Linked DNA regions of Styela clava. The protein of the gene in region 1 purifies or fractionates together with the protein of each later gene. This does not show direct contact. Links are inferred from orthologs where the notes say so. Each region holds a gene or a part of one and is shown on either strand. Other genes may lie near its edges.

What was found.
Region 2: the proteins of mediator of RNA polymerase II transcription subunit 19-like (region 1) and DNA-directed RNA polymerases I, II, and III subunit RPABC2-like purify together in Homo sapiens (affinity purification with mass spectrometry; 3 studies listed by BioGRID and IntAct, with this or other methods). This does not show direct contact. The link is inferred for Styela clava from reciprocal best matches to the Homo sapiens genes MED19 and POLR2F.

What each region holds. Positions count from the first base shown.
Region 1 is NC_135257.1:12,132,895-12,140,622, reverse strand, and holds mediator of RNA polymerase II transcription subunit 19-like, read right to left. Parts: upstream 3,085-7,728; 5' UTR 1,766-3,084; coding exon 1,082-1,765; 3' UTR 460-1,081; downstream 1-459. Other genes in the region: AP-4 complex subunit beta-1-like, read right to left, coding at 1-436. UniProt on the Homo sapiens protein: Component of the Mediator complex, a coactivator involved in the regulated transcription of nearly all RNA polymerase II-dependent genes.
Region 2 is NC_135263.1:9,242,152-9,247,740, reverse strand, and holds DNA-directed RNA polymerases I, II, and III subunit RPABC2-like, read right to left. Parts: upstream 1,422-5,589; 5' UTR 1,411-1,421; coding exon 1,027-1,410; 3' UTR 583-1,026; downstream 1-582. Other genes in the region: uncharacterized protein LOC120340860, read right to left, coding at 476-518; 14-3-3 protein zeta-like, read right to left, coding at 4,049-4,834. UniProt on the Homo sapiens protein: DNA-dependent RNA polymerase catalyzes the transcription of DNA into RNA using the four ribonucleoside triphosphates as substrates.

The DNA of each region.
Region 1 (7,728 bases):
TGCCTGCAACAGCATATCTTCGAACAGATGGATTATTATCTTTCAAGCAATTAGTAATGCTATTCATTCTCGTCTCATTAAGTAAAGACGATATTGAATGGGAATCAGTCAGAATAAGAATAGCAGCTTTTCTGACAAATGGATTAGGATCCAACAAGTCATTTGATATAGAGTTTGTGATGTGCAACCAAATTTCTGAATCATGTTCCCCAACAAATGAAAGGTACAAATATACAATCTTTTTCACCCGTACATCTTTAACTTGAGTCAGCTGTATAACCGAATTCAACACACGTGTAGACTCAAGTAATTCACCATCACACATTCTCAAAAGATCTTTCAGTATTTCCAATATTGCTTGAGAATTCCTATTTAAGTCTGTTGATAATTCCTTAGAAAGTCTACGACTGATATCATGGGAGGAATCATAATTCATTCTAACAATAGAGCTGTTTAGTATCTAAAAAAGAAAATACAAAAAAGATGGACATAATTTAAAAATAAGGCCTAAGATATAGTGAAAAGATAAACTGTAATATTCTGAAATAGAATATAAATACTATTCCAAATTTGATCAATCAGGATCTCAAGCAAATGACATGAAATTTACAGCAAAACTGTTATCAATATTATCACAGTAAATTCCGTTTTTACAGCATATTTGCTGATAAGATGAAAGAGCCCCCGTCATAATCCATTAGCGACATATGATTTGATGCATATAGACCTGTACATACAATCCTCTTGACTAGAATTATGACCAAAACAGTACAATTGAAATATCAAAGGGCCAAGATATTCAAACATAAAGTAAGACTATAATTTGAGAAGAGATTATCATTTCGCATCTTATTATAAATAGCTCTTTCTTGTTCAAGTTTATTGACGAAGATGAATCAATGGGACAGCAAGTTTTATTCAAATAATATATGATTGATTGCCCTGAAATTCCATCTGCAATTTTAACAAGAACTATCTGCCGGTTTGAATCGCTAGTCCCAAATGGGTGATTCACTTCGCCCTCAAGTTTTTTTGAATGATTGAACTTGATGGCAAAAAATATTCTTGTGTGTCCTGCAAATCAGGTTCTTTCTTTATCTCTTTCCCTCTTCTTTTTCTTTTCTTTTTTCTTCTTTTTCTTTTCACCATCTTCATGTTTTTTCTTTTTATGCTTTCTGGGCTCAAATTCTTCTCCTTCATTAATATGAGTATTTTGCATTGGGTCTGACCTACGTTTTTTATGATGCTTGCTTTTTCGTCGTGTTGAGTCAATTGATTGATATAAGGAACGATAATGATCAGGCAAAGGCCCAGGATGCAAACGGAAACTTGATAATAAAGGCTGTGATAGTGGTTGAATTTCTTTATTACCAACAGGGGGTCGATCGATCAACGCTTTTAAACTACTATTGTCTTGTATTGCAAGTGTGTCAATAAACCCAGGCAAATCCGGAAGAAATGAACTTAAATTTTCTTTTACTTTCTTTCCGCCGCAAAATTTGTTATATGTTGTTTCTAAATTGTAATGTGCTAGAAGATTTGTGCTTCCCGATACAACTGATGGCTCAACCTGATCTTTTAATAAATATATCCCAGTAGAAGTGCACACAGGAGGTTCAGATTTTTCAATGTTCATTTGCTGTGTCTCCATTGTGGCAGGCTGTTGGAAAAAATCATGTGAAAAATTCATACGATCATTATTAGGATGGCTACCTAATCCGGAGCTAGGAATCTGGTGATCGCCACCTTGCAAACTTATATTCATTTTACTTGTTTATGACTTAAAGCTGGAAAAATGAAATTTAATGTTAGTTCAAACAATATCGAAATATTAAAGAGGTTGACAGACTAAAGATTAACCTGATTGTCTCATGCATCATCATGAATATATCGATCAAAAGTTGGTCATCATCTTTGAAAAGATTATTTCAAATATATTACAGAATAATAATTATACAACCTGATAAACCATTGGGTTTCAACCTCTTGGTAGGGGCAGAACCCAATGAAACATTCCAGAAGCTTAAGCAACCCCTGTGCAATTGATTATATATGTTTATTTCATTATATTTGTTATCATAAAATATGCCAATTGAAATACTAAATTTGACACAGAACATGTGAAGGGACCGTTTCCCATTGCAAAAATAGCCCCCACATTAAAACACAATTATAACAGTACAAACCCCTCTTTCACTAGGTATAATAACGGTAGAGAGAGAGAGAGATTTTATTTCCACAAAACAATGTTAAGAAAGGACAATAGGTACAGATTTTTATAGAAATACAGTACAGTGAATATTTAAACATTGATTCGTGTTGGTCAGTATGCAGGCTCCGACCATTTTTTTTACGCTGTGGTCGAACTGTCAGTATGGATTAAAAAAATATGAAATTATAAAATAAAGACATAAAATGAGTCGGCTGATAAAAAAATATTTCTACTCTTCAATACTTTACATCAGATTTATTGTATAGTTGTATAGGGCATGTGTAAAATTGTATTACTACACTTTAATCAAGTACAATGGTGATCACATCCACAGAACCCTTTTTTTATCCACAGAACCTGGTTCCGTATAAAAAAGAGAGAGATATTTGGTACTTTGTCAACCAAGATACAAACAGTCATCAATACGAAAAAAAATGTAACGAAAATAAAATAAAAATTGCTTTGATATGGACGGGAGGGAGTGATACGAGTCACGACCATGCGATCATCGAACTCAACTCCAATCCTATTTGCTGATGTGATTAACGTTCGCATTGAAAATGATTATTAGAAAAGCTGGTCTGCCAAATAGAGAGTACTGTACTTTAACAAATTCAATATATAATTCAGAGAAAATCGCATTGCTGTATTGTTAGGTTATTTAAAGACATTGAAGATTACTGATATAAACTCGGATCATTCCCTACAACTGTATACTGTTTCCCATCAAATTGTTTAAAATTTTACGGACGCTTATAAATAATGAAAGAAAAATGTTTCCCTCTCTTCTGCGCTGTTTCGCGCTGTATTTAGTAAGTATTACGACCACTCATTTGAACAATAAAATTCATGGGCTTTAGATGATGGTAAACAATAACCGGGTCTCCCTAAAACCAGGCACTCGCGAATTCAGGCACTTTTTCAGGCACCATTTTAGGCACTTTGATATTTTTTTATTTTTACCGTACGTCATTGGGATTTCCAATTTACCTGACAAGATAATTGGACTTTAAATAATTTTTGCATCCCTATATTGCAATAAAACAATATTATTTCCAATTTATTAGGGTATAAATAATTTTTCAATAGTAAAATGTGGCAACATTGATTACAAAATATAGAAATCAGGCACTTGTGAAATTTCAGGCACTTGGTCAAAACCTATTTTACAATGTATCTGATTACTCTAAAGCAGAAAATTGAATATAAACACTTTGTATGGTTGAATTTACAACTTCTTGGTAAAATACAATACCGTTTGTGACTGATGGAGGCGTGTCATATTTCGCAAGTGCCTGATTTTTCATTTTTCTCGGTGACAGTTGCCATATTTTTTCGCAATTATTTTCCTAAATTATTTGCGTCAGCACTTACTATTCTTTGCTTTCTAACGCAAATTCACTGTTCCACAACAATTTGAGCGTTTTTAATATTGCAATGAGCAATACCATTTGACAACATATGGTCAACCATCGCACTTTCTGGATTTATTTGAAATTGAATATGAATAATAAAATCTGGCAACCTCAAGCACAAAATACTAAAACCAGGCACTTGTGCAATCTTTCAATCTTTATATGTAACTATAAGTGAACATTATATGCGCGTGGAAACTATATTCAATATGTAAAAATATTCTGGCTGAAAATGCTGCTAGCTTCACAGTGGTCTTGTGAAATTTCAGGCACTTCGTAAAAACATATTTCTCGGTGTTTTTATACACTTTGAAGCAGAAAACTAAAATATACACTCTTTTTTATGATTGAAATGACGTCTTTTTGGTAAAAAACAAAAACGATTGGGACTGGTGATGAGGGGTCAAATTTCGCAAGTGCCTGATTTTTCATTTTTTTCGATAACAGGTGCCATATATTTTCGCAACAATTTTTCTAAATTATTTGAGTTAGAACTTACTAATCATTGCTTTTTAAAATAAATTCCTAGTTCTACAACAATTTTAGCGTTTTTACAATGAGCAATATTATTTGACAACATATAGATAAACATCGTACTTTTTGGATTTATTTGAAATTGAATAGGAATGATAAAATCTGGCAACAGCAAGCACAAAATACTAAAACCAGGCACTTGTGAAATTTCAGGCACTTTGTAAAAACCTATTTCTCGATGTTCATACTTACTTTGAAGCAGAAAACTAAAATATACACTCTTTTGTATGATTGAAATGACGTCTTTTTTGGTAAAAAAGAAAAACGATTGGGACTTGTGATGAGGGGTCAAATTTCGCAAGTGCCTGATTTTTCATTTTTTTCGATTACAGTTGCCATATATTTTTGCAATATATTTCATAAAATCATTTTCGTCAGAACTTAGTACTTACTATACTTTGCTTTCTCGGTAAAATGTTTTTTTAGGCAATCCGATGTATATTGAGTGCTATTCTTATCGCTAATTTCAATTCGACGTCTGCCCGAAGGTGGTGCAAGTATTTATATTGGAAGTGAGTACATACCTCTTCAAAACGCCCAGATGGAAGATTGAACAAGTCGGAGTCAACAAAAATTCAATCACATTTGGAACGTTGTCGCACTGCATCGTCGCCACTCATATACTCTGACATTCCGATGCATGAATTTTGCTTTCTGGAAAATAATAATTGGAGTGTCTGTTAAAGTGCGAAATGTATACGGGAGCACGTACAATATCAATGCTTCGTTTGCAAGCGTTGGTATCATGATACATGTGAGAAAGTATCAAAAGCGAAATTGTGGAAGTGTAAAATTTGTATTCGGTAAGTCGGTGTTGCAAATGTGGGTATTTTCAGGGCGCTCCCGTAGTAGCCTATGTGCTCCAAGATGGCGCACAACCTATTACCTCTATCTTGGTACACATACTATGTTCGGGTTATGTGCCAACTTTGTGCACATACTACGGCAGCACCATTTTCTGCACAACCTGTTCTGATGCTCTTTCGCGACATGAAGAAACTATACGCCCGACATATAAAAGTAGCAAAATATACACAAAACCTTTTCATGTTCAATTTCAGAACTGACATTTAAAATTCTTTTTCTTTTTTTTCAATTCTTAGATCTGTGGTTTTACCTAATTGCAAGATACGTAAATCATATCATGTCAAAATAGAACAAATAGTAAGGATTTTCATTGGATACTCAATATTTCTAATAATTTTTAATCTGAAAGCTTCGATTAGTGTTCACTCATACACTTCCTTTGTGAAGTTGTGTTTTTAATGTTTTATCTCCTCAATAAATTTAAATTCAAATTTATATCCCCAATTACTGATGAAGAAAGATCTATAATCGAGAGATTAATACGGCTTCTGTGACATTAAAAACAAAAACTGTTTTACGTTTTTATATATTTGTAACTTTTTGAATAACGCAAAAAAATTCGTTGACTGACTACTGGCGTGTTGAATATTGAAGGATTTTTATTGTAACATTCGTTTAACGATGCTTTTAAGCCTAACTTTGGGCATATCAGCTACCTGATGTCATTCGCCGAGTGAATTTTGTTTAGGTGACATTGCCATCTCGTATTTACAATCCTGTAGCCATTCTTCTTATTTAGGAACTACGTGTTTTACAGTTAGCTGTTACAGCATGAAATAATGTACAAATAATTCTACGTAAACTATCCATGAAATCCATTCCATAAACTATCCATGAAAAGATATTACAGTCAGATCTTCAGGTTGTAAAGAATATTATACAACAGCAACAGCAAGTGATTGAATATCTTTATTGTAGCCGTGGTTGAACACCGCTGGTTGTCAATATGGATTTTGCACAGGCTTTTATACATTTTGTGAACGGTAAATTATGTTCTATTAGGGGATAATGTAACTTGGATACGTATTATAAAAAATTCTATACGACATAAGTCAATTGTTTCTGTTATGTAGTTTATATGAAGTCATAGGCCAAAATTACATTATTAAAATCGTCGTCCGATAACAATTAAAACTGGAATTTCGAACTAATATTGCCAGAAGACAAATTAGGTTCTTTATAACAATGCGATTGTTGCTACCTGGGTAATATATTACGTCGAAATGTTTATAACAAATTAGTAGAAGTTTTGAACCAATTTCAAGGGTTCCGAACATTACTATAAAGATGTCGTCTGAATAACTAATATTCTTTACAGATCTGTCAAATTTAAACCCGTATTTAAATAATACATATGTCATACTTTTGAATTTAAAAAAAATAAACAACACAATGTCATTCAAACTTTACAATATTCAAATAGTTTTGCAAAAGCGTGATTGGTTTAATTAAATACCGATTTCCGGATGTAGATACTGATGTTAAAAGTTTAATTCCATTTATGCTAAGTGGAGCTCTCATACAAACATTGACTTTTATAAAATAATGCAATAGGGAAACAACATATAAAAAAAAGACAAAAATTATAGAGATATGGCAACTATCATTGACAAAACCAAAAAATCAGGCACTTGCTAAATTTGCCACATTTTTACCAGTGACAGTTCTTCTTGTTTTGAACAATAAAAATACCAAATTCAGTCATACAAAATATGTATATTTGGATTTTCGGCTTTAAAGTAATCAAAAACATCGGGAAATGGTTTTTTACAAAGTGCCTGAAATTTCACAAGTGCCTGATTTTAGTATTTTGTGCTTGCGGTTGCCAGATTTTATCATTCCTATTCAATTTCAAATAAATCCAAAAAGTACGATGGTTATCTATATGTTGTCAAATGCTATTGCTCATTGCAATATTAAAAACGCTGAAATTGTTGTAGAACTAGGAATTTCCTTTAAAAAGCAATGATTAGTAAGTTCTGACGAAAAAGATTTTATGAAAAGTATTGCAAAAATATGTGGCAACTGTAATCGAAAAAAATGAAAAATCAGGCACTTGCGAAATTTGACCCCTCATCACAAGTCCCAATCGTTTTTCTTTTTTACCAAAAAAAACGTCATTTCAATCATACAAAAAAGTGTATATTTTAGTTTTCTGCTTCAAAGTAAATATAAACATCGAGAAATAGGTTTTTACGAAGTGCCTGAAATTTCACAAGTGCCTGGTTTTAGTATTTTGTGCTTGAGGTTGCCAGATTTTATCATTCATATTCAATTTCAAATAAATCCAGAAAGTACGATGGTTGACCATATGTTGTCAAATGGTATTGCTCATTGCAATATTAAAAACGCTCAAATTGATGTGGAACAATGAATTTGCGTTAGAAAGCAAAGAATAGTAAGTGTTGACGCAAATAATCTAGAAAAATTGTTGCGAAAATATATGGCAACTGTTATCGAAAAAAATGAAAAATCAGGCACTTGCGAAATTTGACCCCTCATCACCATTTCCAATCGTTCTTGTTTTTTACCAAAAAGACGTCATTTCAATCATACAAAAGAGTGTATATTTTAGTTTTCTGCTTCAAAGTAAGTAAAAACATCGAGAAATAGGTTTTTACGAAGTGCCTGAAATTTCACAAGTGCCTGGTTTTAGTATTTTGTGCTTGAGGTTGCCAGATTTTATTATTCATATTCAAT
Region 2 (5,589 bases), on another chromosome or scaffold:
CATGATAAGTATTTTCATGTGTATGGAAATGAGTCACAAAATTTCGATGACATTATGTCTATTGTGTCTGCAGATTTATAGAGGTGATAGAAATATATACCATCCAGCACTTTGATCAAGAAATCCCATTCAGGTGTAATATTTTCTACCTAATTTTTTTTATTTGAATGCCATTTGAACAGATGATACAAGAGTTATTTGGATTAGGAAGAAATTAGTGTGATGATATTCAAAATTATTACTCATAGGAAAAAGTGATGATTTTCTGTGATTCTGTGAATTCCCATTTTCATAGAACACAATGATTCATATACCGTATCTAAATTTATCTAACAAAATTATTCACAAGACAGACTTAAATTCTAAACTATTCTGAGTCTTCATATTTAATCCTTCAGCTTTATAAAACTTTTTTTTTTATATATAGAAAATGGATACACACTAACACACAAACATAAATAATCTGAAAACTCACCAGCAGCCCCTGCTCCAATAACAGCTACATTCAAAACTTTCATTTTGATATCAAGAATCAATTACCCAGTAATATATAGAATATCATTTAGGAATACTCAATATAGATTCTAAAAAATGATGGCAGTTTTAAGATAATAAAAAATGTATGCAGTATCATAATTTCAAACAAAATTTGAATACACATAATTGTGACATTAATTTTGTCTGGCAACACACAATGTAGAAATAAGAGTATTGTTCTGTGTCATACAGCTCACCTAAACTTCTGAAACCAGCAGGTAAACGCTCATTTTTCAATTGTGGTTAGAAATTTTTTTGACCCCGATAATGACCTATTAAATAATGTTTAAAAACCAATTTAAAATCAAGACATTTACTAGACCATGGAATAGTATAATTATTTTAATAGATTTCAAGTCGTCCACCAGTAGATGACAGTTTGGAAGCCAGCCGCACTTCGTCAATATCCTAGTTCGATTTGAACATGCATAGTAGCTATAGCTTTACTCAAACAAACGTAGTAATCCATACGGTCTCGTAAAGTCCAAGTTACTCAATTATCAACTCTTCAATACCCCAGTCCTCATAACTACCATCCGGTAAATATCTTCGAACAATAATAGGAATCTTTTTTGCTTTTAGTTCTTTCATTGCGATTTGTAGAGGGTCAGTTTCTCCTTCTAATTCTACCATCACAGGAGCATTCATTGATATTTGTAGCGCCCTGGTTCCCAACACACGGGCACGTTCATATTTCGTCATATAAGGTGAAGTAATACGATTCGCAGGACTTATAGGGCCTGCTTCATGGGCATCTAGAATCCCAACACCTCCTTCTTCTTGATTATCATCATTAGCATCTTCCACATCCTCCATCCCTTCTCCTTCATCATCAAATCCTTCATCAAAACCATCATCCTCATGATCAGACATTTTCTCAGGATCCAAGTACAATAAACTATTTATAAATTACTGCTAGAAATCTGTAATGTAAAGTTTCTATTTCACTACTGACATCAATAACAAAAACATTGAAAACAATCAAAATTTTACAAGTTAACTAACTACTGGAAGATAAAGCATACCCAGAATAGATTTCATTTTCATTATTCAATCTGTATAACGAGAAGAAAGAGCTTATAACCAAATGTTAACTATTTTATAACAACTAACTTATAACAATTTCAATTGAAGATTCTGATATAAAATGCTTTTCTTGCTCTAATAAGTAATGCAAATCTTTATATATGCATTTTTTGGTCAAAATTTAAATATTCTTCTATTATGGGTATACTTAATCAACTAGGCATGGGTCATTAATAATATTAAGTCATGAAATTGTCAGGTGAAATGTTAGATGCTGCTCCAAACAATAAAGAACACTAACATGAATAAAAGCTCATATTGTCAAAACAAGGTACTATCGATCTTTTTAATAACTGCAGTGTAATGATAAAATTCATAACCCAATCAACATTGGCTATACTCGTACACGAGCACTTATAACTTTTAAGATTTGCAAAAATACAATAAGATGAACAGCCTTCATTCCCTGGGGTTCAGACGGAATTATGTTGACGCATTATTACTCAAAAATGAGCTCAGGAGCCATTAATAAGGGTAGTCTATCTGCTGTTGTAGATGGAGAAAATTTCAATGAAAAAATTGTTGAATTCCAAGACCCACGGGAGTGTAGTATCGGTCGTTATATTTGCTATTCTAATAATTGAAAAAACCCCAAGACAATCATTAAAAGATATTATAGTGGCATTACTGAGTATTCTAGCAGAGGGATTTGAAAGAAATAGAAGTTATATTCGCCAACATTCACCGATTACTTCTGTGAATTTAACATACATTATTAGGAGTGGTTTAATACAATGACTTGTTTTCCTTGTACTGACATTAATTGGAATGAACATCAATTATGTTAGAAAGTGGAATATATTTAAAAATTAAAGAACTTTTCAAATTACAGAACTATAGTAGTTAGTGAAGATCTCATATCGTGACTCAAATTAACATATAAAATCAGGAACAAAAACAGAATTCAGCAAGCATATAATGTCCTATTATGATACAATGATATTTGGTATTATGCCATTTTCAACACTTTCTCTAAGAATTGATAGCAATTTAAGAAATTCAATAAAAAATGAACTAATGTTGCAGTACAAAATTTCCCACAAGAAATTGGAATTCCTTTCAAAAATTTGACAATATACAAGAACATAATAGCGATCACATTTCTTAGGATGTAAATATGGTAATCGTTCCTTTATAGAAAACTGAACAAATTACAGTTGGGATAATTTTTTTTGGCTTTTTTTTCACTGTGTATAAGCAAATCCACAAAAGCAAGCTACGAAACTGAAGCAGCAAAACGATACATCAAATAATAATGTCAGGTACAGATGTAAAACTACCATTACTTTGTATTGGGCTTTCAAAAAACATCTACCAAACATCAAAATTGTTACAAGTATAAAACAGCTACCTAATATCCTGTACTGGATAATTTCCAGAGATCATTTAAAATTGAAATATCAAATTTATTACGAATCAAGTAATAATCATGGAAAAAATTTATGATGACATGAATTTACTTGTACCAGTTTCATGCAGTGCCTATTGTGTGTTTTAAAACGGGATGAATAAAGCACTGTACATGCGCAACTTATTGGCGAGAGCGGAATTTTTTGTATGCATGTGTACAATTATCTGCATTTGTTTTTGTGTGTGACATTATTACCGATCAGTCGATCGCGAGCTATTTTGAATATTTTAGTCGATCGCGGTAGAAAACATGTTGGCTATCCCTGCTATATCCTATATGGCATGGTATCCAAGCAGTTTAACAAAAACTGATACTTTGCTGATTCCGTCTTTTCAAATATTTACTATACATCAGTAGTAACCATAGTGGAAACGTATGACAAATTTTTGAAGTTTAGTACAATAGTCTTATTGAACAAAAATATAAAGACTAATTTCATCACTAGGCGGAAAAAATCTCTCAAAGAGAAGGGTAAGTTTGGTCAACGATTTTTGGAAAGTATACTCACATATGTTACGATTAGTCAGTGAATGTCACATTGGAAAGTCCTCAATAGTGTCATATAACATCGAAATATCCAAATAGAATCATTCATAGTTTTAAAAATGACATTTTACATGTAAAAAATTACATTGAACATATTTATTAAAAAAAATGAAATAGCATTGAATTGAAACCAAGTATTCAGCAATACAGACATCAACTAAATATTCCAAGCATATTGTCAAGTTCTTTATATTATTAACATGTTTTCATTGTTTCTTTATTAGCCTATCTATTTTCTATAAGCTGTGGGATTGCTAACTGGCTACTTCATTACAAACCAAACAATTATTTTCAGTGCTAATTTAGATATTGAGATGTGCAAATGACGGTTGCCATACATAACAAGTTGATCAAGTCACAATATTACATACTAAAGTTACATTTTGCAAATTCCAATTATCCAGTCAGTCAGTTTTATACTATTCATTCAATTGTTACTGTAGATGCTTATACATATTCAAAAAATTCTTAATCTTTGGCATCATTGGATTCCACGTCCTGCAAGACGACATCTTCTGTTTGATCACATGCGTCATCTCCCGCCATATCCGATGTCCAAAGGGTCAAGTTGTCCCTCAGTAGCTGCATGATCAGTGTTGAATCCTTGTACGATGCCTCACTCAAGGTGTCCAATTCTGCAATCGCACTATCAAAAGCTGTTCTTGCGAGTTCGCATGCCTCTGTGGGCTGATTTAGGATCTCATAGTAGAAAACAGAGAAGTTGAGAGCCAGTCCTAAGCGAATAGGATCCGTGGAACGCAAACTTTTCTTTGCCAATTCTCTAGCTTCGTCATATGCCTTCAAGCTTTTTTCTGCAGCTTTCCCTCTGTTATCTCCCGATTGATATTCAGCGATATACCTCTGATAATCTCCTTTCATCTTCAGATAGAATACTTTAGACTCATCATCTGCTGAATTCGGAAATAAATGCTCATCAATTAGATCCATTATTTCACGACAAGTGCTGCTCAATTCCTCTTCTATAACACTACGATATTCTTGCAGAATGGATAACTTTTCATTGTCGACAGTTTCACTGTCTTTTAACTTTGACTCTATGCTGGAAAGTATTCTCCAAGAAGCTCTTCTAGCACCAATAACATTCTTGTAAGCAACAGAGAGAAGATTTCTTTCTTCAACAGTGAGAGGGCGACCAACTTCAGCAACTTTCTTCATGCATTTCACCATATCATCAAATCTTTCCATTTGCTCAGACAATTTTGCCTCATAGACAACGATATCGAGTTCAGCCATTTTTAGATTTTTAATAAAGCTCAAACTAGGAATTGGTGATAAATCTGAATATTAAAATAAAGCTCATTGCATGATTGATGAGATAATGAAAATTGTACAAAGCAGTGATAGAAAGCATATATTTACATACAATAAACACCAACCTGAGGCTAATTAAAATTCAAGATAATTATATTTTCAAGTCAAATTCAATAGAGCCATTGAAAACAAGGAAAATGGAGGGTACGGACTAAGGAATACCTCTTTATATAAAATCTCAATATTGCACTATTCAAATTTGCAAAATATTTCAATCGCATATTCATGTAACATTATAAAGGTGAAATCAAAAATTATACACAGTTCAACGTCCGCATAAGGCAAAACAATAATATTGAATTTGTTATTGAAAAATAATTAAATGTAACAATATGTATACTAATGCAGTACCAAAAAGCGAAATAAAAATAAAACATACCGAATATAACGACGAAACAACAGCACTTATTTGCTCTTATTGGATGATTACTGATGAATTACAAATAAATGCAATGAAATTCAAGATGAAGAAAGCAAAACTTATTTTCTCTATTCTCAACACTACATATAAAAACACTATAAGGAATGACACATTTGAAAGTCAGCATACTGAAATTTGGCAAAAAAAGAAATTAATGAAAATAATATAACTATGACATACAGTTATACACAAGAACATAAAGTTCATGTTATTTCATCTACTGAAACCAATTTCTGATATATGTGAAAACTTCTTA